2 linked regions of the Drosophila melanogaster genome follow. The protein of the gene in region 1 interacts with the protein of each later gene in a pairwise test. Each region holds a gene or a part of one and is shown in the gene's direction. Other genes may lie near its edges.

Evidence for each region.
Region 2: the proteins of Kpc2 (region 1) and CG11409 interact in a two-hybrid assay, tested with the Drosophila melanogaster proteins (one large-scale study listed by BioGRID).

Annotation. Positions count from the first base shown.
Region 1 is NT_033778.4:19,668,705-19,674,233, forward strand, and holds Kpc2 (Kip1 ubiquitination-promoting complex subunit 2), read left to right. Parts: upstream 1-1,913; 5' UTR 1,914-2,050; coding exon 2,051-2,445; intron 2,446-2,458; exon of another isoform or gene 2,459-2,562; coding exon of another isoform or gene 2,563-2,579; coding exon 2,580-2,591; intron 2,592-2,656; coding exon 2,657-3,146; intron 3,147-3,201; coding exon 3,202-3,537; intron 3,538-3,589; coding exon 3,590-3,893; intron 3,894-3,956; coding exon 3,957-4,105; 3' UTR 4,106-4,773; downstream 4,774-5,529.
Region 2 is NC_004354.4:1,338,554-1,343,750, reverse strand, and holds the start of CG11409 (uncharacterized protein), read left to right. Parts: upstream 1-2,163; 5' UTR 2,164-2,426; intron 2,427-5,197. Other genes in the region: Naa30A (N(alpha)-acetyltransferase 30 A), read right to left, coding at 216-461, 537-1,259.

The DNA of each region.
Region 1 (5,529 bases):
ATTTGAACTAAATATTTGTGGGATACACATTCATCACGTGATAAGGGCTACATATATACAACAGTTACTACTAAATTGAAATTACCCTTTTCTTCCTGTGTAGCAAAACAGTTAATTGACAATTACAATTTACTTTCGCGCTGAGTAAATGCAAATTGTAATGTGCGATAAGATATTTCTGATAGCGCCGTTATATACAAAAAACATAACAATGAATTTCGCAAAGCAGCTGGGCACACTGGTTCACTGGATAGCCTTTCGGGCATATAAACAAATGCGTAAAAGAAATTGGCAAATAAATTAGCGGTTGGAGTGGGTTGCCGTAGCTGTTGCTTGTAGCAGAATAATTGTGACAATGACAAACATAAACAAAGAAAGCGAATATTTATGCGCCTGCACCACCCCCCTCTCACCAACGACAATCCTCCCACACAGGTAAACGGTGCTCTCACGCACGCACTCACGCACACCCACACAAACAGGCACGCGCCGTATACATACACACACGAGGGGAAAAGTTTTCTCTGCTTGTTTTTGCTTACCTGCGCTTATTCTTCAGATTCTTGGCCTGTTTTTGTTGTTCCCGTGCCGCCGCTTCAAACAATATCTGAAGGTGTGTGTGTGTGTGGCGTGTCGTGCTGTTTGTCCGCTGCATTCGTGAGTGGTGCATATGTATGTATGTATGTTTGTTTGTTAGAACTTTTGGCAGGAGAGTGTATCCCATTCATGTGCTGTTGTCGCTCCGGCTTTTACTCTTTTCGCACGTTCGTCTTCCTCGCTTTTTTGCCGCACTCTTCACATTTCTTTTTTCGTTTCTTTTTCCGTTCCCGTTCCACCACCTTCCACTGCTGCTTAACGGACAGAAACTCTCGCGTTTTATGCTACGTGACGCACACGCACACACCGATATACAAATGCCAGTAGTCGACTTGCCAAAACGCAAACACAAACGCTTTCCGCCCACTTTTGTTTCGTTTCGGAGGTGACGGGGGCACACTGATAACACGACGGGATCGACGCTGTGGCGTTTAGTGGGCGGCAAACATATTTTACTAACTTTTAAGCCCCTGCGCGTTCTAGCAATAATTAAAATGTGTGGCAATCGATTGGATGCTTGTGGCAATCGTTATCGTTTCTTGCGGCGCATAGAGATGAGCCAATGGGAGTAGCTAGGGATGGGAAGATTTCCATGCTCTCTGCTTACGTATGCCTATTGTGAATGGACATTTTTAGTGAGAATTTTTAAATGATTTTTAGCAAATTGGTTTTAAATATAATGTGTATGAGCACCATTTTATTTCATTATCAAGCAGATTCGTTTCGCAAGTAATAAAAGTGAGAGTCATCTGCAAGCGATACCGCCTTAAGTAAAATAAGCTGAGGGCATAGGATTTACTATTGGTTCTTTTACAGTTGGGACCTAATCTGGCCATCTGCTTATTTGAAATCTGCGACAGATGTCACTTTTTGCACCTTTGGTGTAGGTAAATTCAAAACCCAATTTTCTTACCTGAAATTTGAAAACCCATTTCAAACTGGGATTTCAAGTATGTTTGGGTTTTATATGACGGGTCTAACCAGGTACCAATTTACCATTAAGACACTTAGATTGTATTACTAATAGTTTTTGGAAAATGAATTCTTTAATTCTATTACTATATTCGGGTAACTACTATTTATTGCAGTAAAGTAACAAAAGTATTTAACCCCAATGTTTTCCTGTTATTGTTATTGGCTAACGATAAGGAATAACATAGTTTTCTTCATATATGTACATATCACGATATATTTATAAAGTTCAGCCACATAACATATTTTAAAATAGTTTTTCATGTCAAAATAGCCGTTATAAAGATTAGGGGTATTCCCCATGGATATGGCCTATCTGGCAGCACCATCAAACAGCTGCTTGCTATCGACTTTACAAAAATAAAAATCGTTTTTTTTTTTTTTGCAATAACGCATCGATTCTGTTTACTTGCGAGAAATATGCAAAATAGCCATCGAAAAGTGCCGCAAAATGTAACAAACACCTAGCTGCAGACCCAAGATGATACCCTGGATGCGGGAGAAGTTCAACGAGAAACGGGCCAAGTGGTTGGCGCGTAGCAAGCGCAGCGGTGGTTCTCCGGCTGACGAAAGCCCTCGGAGCAGCAGTCATAGCCACAGCCAGCGGACAGACGCCAGCGATGCGGAGAGCCTGAGCGGATCCTCGTTGAATGTCCACACGGCGGAATCTGAAACGCAGACGGATGGCGGGATATCCGCTTCCAATTCGCGGCCCCTTGTGGGCGGGGGCAGTTGCGTCCTAAGGACTCCATCGCCCGCTCGCCGACGTCGCATTCACCTTGAGCTACAGCTGCAGCGACGAGAGGAACGTGCTGAGCATCAGAAGGTGGTGCCACAGGACTCGCCCACGCCCACTCACCAACAGCAGGCTAATGCGTAAGTTATCAAACCGAACGAATATGCTTATGTTTTTCAAAGTGCTCACCCGAAACAAATATTTGTCTTTCGAAATTCTCCGTTGGTTTGTCACTACCCATCCAACTAAAACAAACTATGCAAAAACTGCGCAGTTTGTTTCTCAGGTTAGTAATGCTTAGGTATTATGCTAATCTTTTAATTAAGTCCATTCTTAACGGAATCCACTTAGGAAATCAGCCCATACAAATCGCCCAGGTAGCTCTACTTCTGGCGAGGCAGACGATGCCAGCAGGCCAGGTGAATCTATCCTGGTGCGGGTAATCTGCCCCAGCTCTCGGGTTCTTATCTTCAAAACGGACGTTAATAAGCGCCTAAACGAGCTGAAGAGTGAGGTGATTCTGGAACTGAGCGACGATCCCGACTCCATCCAGCTATTTGCCCCAGATGTGCGGCATCTTAATCCGCGATACCGTCTCTATCGGGCGGAATACTTCGGCGGCGAGCTTAACGAGGGCGACACGCTGGCCCAGCTAAAAGTTCGCAACAATGAGACTTTCATACTCTCCCCACGACGCAATACTCTGCCGCAGACTGTTTCACGGATACGTGAGGTTCCTGGCCCAAATGAGCAGCTGGTGGAGAGCGCCACCCGATACGTGCCCGTCAATTGCAACCAGCTGCCCACCATCGATATTAATGAAATCTTTCAGCAGTCGAATGTGAGTACAATTCTTGGCTACTCCTTTGATTATTCTAATCCTATTCCGTTTCCAGATCCAATACGATGTGCGAAAGGTGTTGATCTCTTTGGCTCAAGCTTCTGCGGCGGTTATAGGAGCTGGCCCTTATGCTCCACGCCTGATAGCTATGCTAAAGCAACGTTTGATCAATCGCCGAAATCAGCAAGCGGATACGCTGCAATGCCTCGTGGACATGGGCTTCAAGCGGGAGCTAGCCGCATTTGCCTTAAAAGCACACAATGGCATTTACTCGACCACGATGGAGTGGCTAATACAGAACCAAAACGAGGAAAATCCACAGGAACCGCCGGGCATGAATATGCAGCACAGTCTATCTTCCATCTCACCCTCCACGATTGTCACCAATAATGTAAGTAGGAATTAGATTATCGCTTTTTAATGACAACCGTTTTCTTTTAAAGGAAACCATTGAAAACACTGCTGCCTTGATTGAGATTGTACGAATCTACAGCCACCGGGATTCCCCTCCCAGCGATGAGATTGTGGAATCGCTTACAGAAATGGGCTTCGAGGAGACGGCAGTGCTCGCGGCACTGAAGAAAACTGGCAACAACAAGGCGTCCGCGTGCGAATGGTTGTGCGACAATCGATCGGGTAGCGTTATTGAACTGCGTGAAGGCTTGGCGCCCGATTCGCCCATCCTAAAGGTGATCCTGGAAATGCCACAAGTCCAGATGACCCTAAGCAATCCAAAGACTTTTTTGGGTATGTCCATCTAATTAAGATAGCAACAGTTGAAATCGAAACTAATTGCACATACGTTTACAGCATTTCTGGGCATCCTGGAAAACGAACATGCGATACGCGTGTGGCGTGGCGACAACGACACAACCTCGGTCATCACACATATCCTTCAAAAGTACCATGAGGAGAAGCATGTGCTTGGCATCAATCAGTTCTATACGAACCGCTGGTGAAAGATGCCGCTAAGTGGCTTTACTATGAGATTAACCAAATTATATTTATACATATACATACACAATCACACACCCGAAGTGCATGGCTGTAGCTTGGTCCATTTTGGGGCTCTAATTATACATTGTGTATGTGCCCGTATGTAAAGAGTATTTTTGTAGCCAAAAACCATGAAAGTAAACTGCACAAAGCCAAAAGATGCAATCGCTTCGCCAAGAGCACGCGGCTGCACTCTACAAACGCTTACCGATCAGTACGAATTGCATTTTATACATACATATACATATATATACATACATACACATATATATACATACATACATATATATATATATATATATATATATATAAATATAAAATGTATCTATATCTAGTCAGGCCTTCATCCTACAATTGTATTAGGTTAAACAATAATTACTCTATTCATCTAGTTTGCTAGCTCATCTTCAGCCGAATCTCGCACTACATTTAGAAAATGTCACATACTGCATCCCACAGAAACAACCCATCAGTTTATAAGCGCTCGTACGTGTGGTGATTTAAGTGCGTTGTAATCCCAGGTTGTTTAAACCATCAACTTGAACTCAAAGTATTATTTTGTAAACCAAATATTCAAATTTGCATAGTTTTAACAAAATGCAAATAAATCAATTAGTTTTTGATACAAAACAAAAGAATTAATGTTTCTTTTATATCCAGATTATGTCGGTACTAAGGTGTAAGATGTAACTTTTTATATAGTTTGTAAGATTGGATAAAGTTTTCAATGACGGTCGTCCTCGTGTAGCGAATAGTTATTTTGTGTTTATTGTCGGACTTCTTCTTAAGTCAACAGTAAACCAGTAGTTCCCAAAATTGGGGGATTCTTTGTGTTTATAGCAAATAGATAAGTTGACTACGCATGACTCAAGCTCCTTTGAGTTCACCACGGCGGATGAGTAACATTTACAGACACTTTTAAACAAAATGAATCATCAGTGATAAGTTGGTGTGTACTCATTCGTAATTTAGAGCATATGTAAAGCTAAACATTTTCCATTACTCTTTCTAGTAATTTGTACAAATGGAATTGCTTTGTTGGCAGAGCAATTTGGATCTTTGCTGAATTATTTTGCTATTGCTCTTTTAATGTACAATTACAATTAATTTTCCATGCGGCCGCACATTTTTCATTTCATTATTCCAGCTGCAAACATGAGAGTAAACAAAAACAGTGAACCAAAACTATTCTATTCAATTGTTGCATTCTTTTTTCCACATATAATTAATTGTATTCAGCCTGGACGGGGAAAATAGTTGGATACATTTTAATTTATGTTAAGCGCGTTTATTAAGTGGTTGTTGCAGTGGTTGTGTATCCATGAATAAACTTTTCCTATCTGGTGACTTTTAATTAATATTTGCGCGCAATATTTTTGGTTGTTTA
Region 2 (5,197 bases), on another chromosome or scaffold:
TAAGTTTTCACAGAAAGAGAGGTAGTTGGTATGTATCCCTCGCCAATGTGCCCGAAAGTATACCTCGAGGCTCGAGGAGCCATTGGTGAGCTTTGATGGCAATTTCATCCATAGTTAACAACACATAATTGTTCCGTAACACACATATCGAGCATCGATTACATGCAACCCGATTTATAACTTATTGCAAGGGAAAGATGCCCCAGACATCCTACCTCTATGGCCTTGGTGACCAGCGTGGTGCCGATTTTGAGCTTGCGATACTCCTTGCGCACGGCCAGCATGGCGATGTAGCCGCGCCGCACGTTCATGTGCATATCCAGCTTGCACACGATGGCGCCCACGTACTGATTGTCGTGCGAGGCGAGGAAGCAGAGTTTTGGCCAATTGTAGATGAAGTAGCGATACGTGTATATCGAGTACGGCTCGGACAGCTCCGCCTGGATCAGTCGCATGATGTCCTGCGTGTTCGATATGCGGGGAATTAGATAAGTGTTGCGCACAGTTCGCACTTGGTCATACTTGGAGGTACTCACATGCATTTGGTGTTCAGCCTCGTATTCCTTATATACGATCTCGTCGGCTGAAATGGCAGGTTCCGGCAGTTGGAGCTGTGCTGTAATGGTGGGCGTGGCCCCCTCTGCATAGTCGGAGGGCGGTTGCTTCCTCTCCTGCTCCCGACTGTGGCCACTCCCCGTCGCCACATGCACTCCCTGTTCCACAGCTACATCCTCCGACACTTTTGGTTTTGGGTCCGTCGTTGTGGTTGGGTGTATGTTGGCAGTGGTTTTGCTTGTGGCTGTTATGGGCTTCTCCTCCGGTTTGAGGGAGTTCGAATCCGATCCTCCGCCGTCGCCTCCTTCTCTTCGCTGCTTGCGGTTGTTGTTGCTGCTGTCCACGCTGTTGTTGTTGTGAGTGCTGTTGTTGTTGTTGCTGCTGCCGCTTGTGCAGCGAATGTGATTGTTGTTGCTGTGCCCATGTGCATGGCCATTGACGACCTCCCCAAGCGGCCGAGCCTCCTGCTCCTTGTGACCATGGCCATTGCAAAGGTGCATCTTTTTAAGCAGGCCTCTGAGTTCCTGCGCTGGCTCCTGGTCTTCCGTCGCCTCCTCCTCTTGGTGCTGAACGTGTCCATTGCTGGGTGTCTGTGCCTCCACCTGGCCACTGGAATTTGGATTGTGATTGGGGTTCTTCTCCGCTGAGTTCTTTTTGTTCTTGTACTTCTTCTTTCCGGCCGCCGCTGCCTGGGCATCCGCCATTCTGAAAAGCGACGGAATTGGCTCTAAGAGGGAACCTGCTGCTCCTCCGGGGCTTATCTGGGAGGACTGGTAATCCTCGCCTGCAACCGTGTGCCTCGGACTTATTTTTGGTTATATTTTCACAGTTGATGGTTTTTCATTCACACGCACACGCACACGCTCACGCACATACTCACACACTCGCGCACGCACACATGGGGCAGTCGGCCGTCCTCTTTGTTGTGCTTCCGATATTCGGAGTTCCGGATCGATCAATCCGATCTCGATTTGTGGCGCTAGTGCGTGTGCATGGCAAACTTATGTAAAATCCTATATCCGCAAAACTCGTAATTTTCCTTGCTATGAATAAATCCCACCCACACATATGCGCGAACAGCTGTAACAGCAATCGATTGGCACTCGATACTATCGATACAATCATCGCCGGCCAACTGTGACTATCGGCTATCGAATTATCAATTGATATTATTACTATTAAATTAACAGCTAAGATTAATGAAAATATTTAAAAATTATATTAAATAAAATCTAAAACTACGTTGATTTTATCAAATTTATATTTGGCATGCACCTTACATCGCAAATGTTCATATATTTGATATTTGATTAGATTTGATCTTTGTAATATTATTACAATCTTTAAACGTAATATTCTCATACCTATATTCTTTATAGCTGCCATTTAATTTCTGACTTTGGAATGTTAACTTATTTGTATTTGCAATACTTTTGCCAAATTAGATCGTCAGCTTGTGCCTTTTTGCGAGGGTGTGCTGTACATAACGGAAAAGAGGATCAATAATAAGAAGAAGAAGCTGCTCATTTCAAAGTTCTCTTCTTGTTCTTCCTTTTCTTCTTAAAGAAGAAGCAACTATTTTACGGCGTAAAGATTTTTGATTTACGGGACTTTTGTTTGAAAAAAGTGCTGCAAATCAGTTTGAAGTGTTAGTTATAATTAAGTGCATGTCGTGGCAATGAGTAGCATCGAAATGTTACCCGAAAACGGATGGAAGTCCAATAAATTGCTCGAAACGTATGTTCACTTACACTCGCCATTTAAAAGTATACGTGTGTGTGTTTGTGTGTACGTGCGTGTTTTCTCCTGCGCTTATTTTTTTGTCTCTTTTGTTTTGTGATTTCCAAACTATTAAAAACGTTCTTCAATTGGTAAGTTACTAGTTAAATTCAGTTGTACTAATTAATAACTCTGCAGTGCGACCTTCGCCTACTTTTGGTTTCCTTTTCGCGCCATTAGCATTCGCCATAAAATAAAATCCATAAATTACAGCTAAATCAAATGCAATAAAACCAAATTACAATCTCGAATCATATAAGTCACATAAGTCACTAATCCGCAGTTTCCTGAGATCTGCACTTCCTCCACTTTCCTTGCCGTTTGTCTTGGTTGAGAACGCAGGATTATTCGGAACTTGCAAAGGTTTCGAGTCAAATGAAAATATAACCCCTGATTTTACAATGTATGTACATATGTATGTGGTAACTGCCAGGAGAAATCCGCCTGCCGTTTGCTGTCAATTTTGTGGATTTTTAACGACGGCAATCAGTCGACTGTTTTAGCGTTATAGCCCGTCGCTTTGATGGGGACTCCAGCTCCTCCCAACGTCATAATCGAAAGACTTGGGTAACGAACGAACTCGGCATGGCCGATGTCGTTGCCTCTCAGTTGGGCTGGCTGCCCCCAGAACTGGGACTACATCAGCACTAGCTGGTGACGAAATCGGCTGGGGAGGCCAGGCGGTCTCGATCTTCGATCTGCTTTCGGACCAGCATAGCCTACTTTGCATACGGAATTGGACTTGAATTTGATTGACTGAAATTGAATAATCCGAGCCACGCGATTGGATAATTTCTTGAAATTTTGCATACGAACTTGCAAGCGCAAGTTGGCGTCCGTTTTTCTGGACGTCTGTTTCACTTTTCGCTGTTGCTGCAGTGACGCGGGCAAATCCAAAATTAGCAAAGCAAACAACATACGGAGAAAGTGAATGGCCGAATAAAGTAAAAGCAGTGGCGGAGAAAGGGTAACGAAGAAAGGGGAGAGAGCGGGAGCGGACAGGTGCCGCAGCCAACGCCTTATCACCTTGCTGGCGGAGATCTCTAAAAGATAGAGATACAATTTAGCACTTAGCACCCACGTGACGAAATGATATATGCAGTTTGGCCACAATGGCATGGACTTCTTGTTTTAAACTATATTTTTTGTGTCGGTTGATCATGGTAACTGGCGGCTCCCCAGCCAACGGACATAGCATTGTCAGTTGGTTCGTCAGTGAAGTTGGTTCTATAAGTCAAGAGCTACGTATGCTAAGGCCACCTAAGGGTATTAGGGTATTTGGCCTGCGACCTGGGTATTTGACCAATTTTATTTTGCACATCCACGGCGCATTAAAGCAATTCACTTTTTGCGCGATGCTCCATAGCTCCATAGTTCCATAGCTCCAAGCCGAGCCCCACTCCATTCTCCCGAGCATTTGGCCGTGTCATGTCAAGAGTTATGGGCTTCGTAATTTTTCTGAGTTTTCGTTTATATATTTTTGGTTGTTTTAGTTCGGTTTCCTTTGGGGCTTTGTTGTTTGCCGTGTCGCAATGCTGCGAGTGTGCGCAAATGGCAAAGTCAAAGCGCATGCGCTCCAAATGTGAAGCACCTGGCCAAACCCTACCCCTAGTTCCACCTATGTACCTTACCCATCCCAAAACAACTTAAGTGAAGCATAAGGCATGCGGCTCGAGCTGAGCTAAGCAAACTAAAACCGCAGACGAATGTGTCGCGTCAGCGTTAAATTGTGTCAAATGTTGTCACACACAAAAAAGCAGCCTCAGCCTCCCTTTTTTGCGGCGAGGCGGTAAACACCGTTGTGTGCAAATGGCAAATGTTACAAATAACCAAAAATCGTTTTAATTATTTCGAGCAAAACGTGCCAAGCGCAAAATGAGCCCAACGTTTGTGGCCTGTGTGTGGCCCTATTGAGAAACTAGGTTTAACTGCGTCTTTAAATTTGTAGCAGTAATCGTAAGATAAGACAGAACTCTCATGTTTTGCAAACCCAATGGATTTTCCCGGCCGGTCCACTTGAAGTCCGGAGGGATCAGAGCGATCGAGTGGCAGCGATGGGAAGCACTGGAGCCCGAGTTCATTGAGGCCCATCGACGGTCTTCGATCGTTGAACGGCTATATACAGACCATGGCTGGCCGCGCTCCTTGTGCGTGAGTTTTATTATGCAAGCGGAGCGGAGCAGAGCAGAGACCACATGGTAATAAAAACCAAACCAATATTAGTCCGCTACATTGCGGGGCGCAGCAGCAGAAAGCCAGAGAAAACCGAACCAATCGAATTTGTCAATGGGGGAAAGAAGCTGGCCGAAGTGAAATGCCCGTGCGCTAGCAGAAACCCGTCTGCATCCACGGCAGAGTGCTGTTTACCTGTTCACCTTCCCTGGCCAGAGCCATGCTCCGTCTTATCATCGTTCGCAGTGTACTTGGTCAAGGCAAGCCAGCCACTTTTAACCGGCGATCAACCGATTTGATGGGAGCTGGGCGATCAGCGGTTACCACGACCGGCCTCGCGTCGCGATCGTAATCCCTCCCAAAAATGTCTTCTAAGCCAAATCGATTTTTAATTGAGACTTCGGCGCCAGAGCGCTGCACCCTGCGTTGCCCAGGGCAGTACTTAAAGAACCAGCCAACTAGCAATCTGCTATCGCTATGTCATGCCAATCATTCGAGATGAGGCCTCGTTATTATTAGGTGCTAAAATCGTTCAATCTGCAGCAAAATAGTTTAACTCAATGCAAGCTTGAGCCGTATGGTTACTATTTCAAATGTTATTGCAGTACATATAACAGTCTAGTATAGTACGAGTGTCGGCACATGACGTGCATTAACATGCCTTTTTAAATTGCTTTGTGTTAAGTGTGTT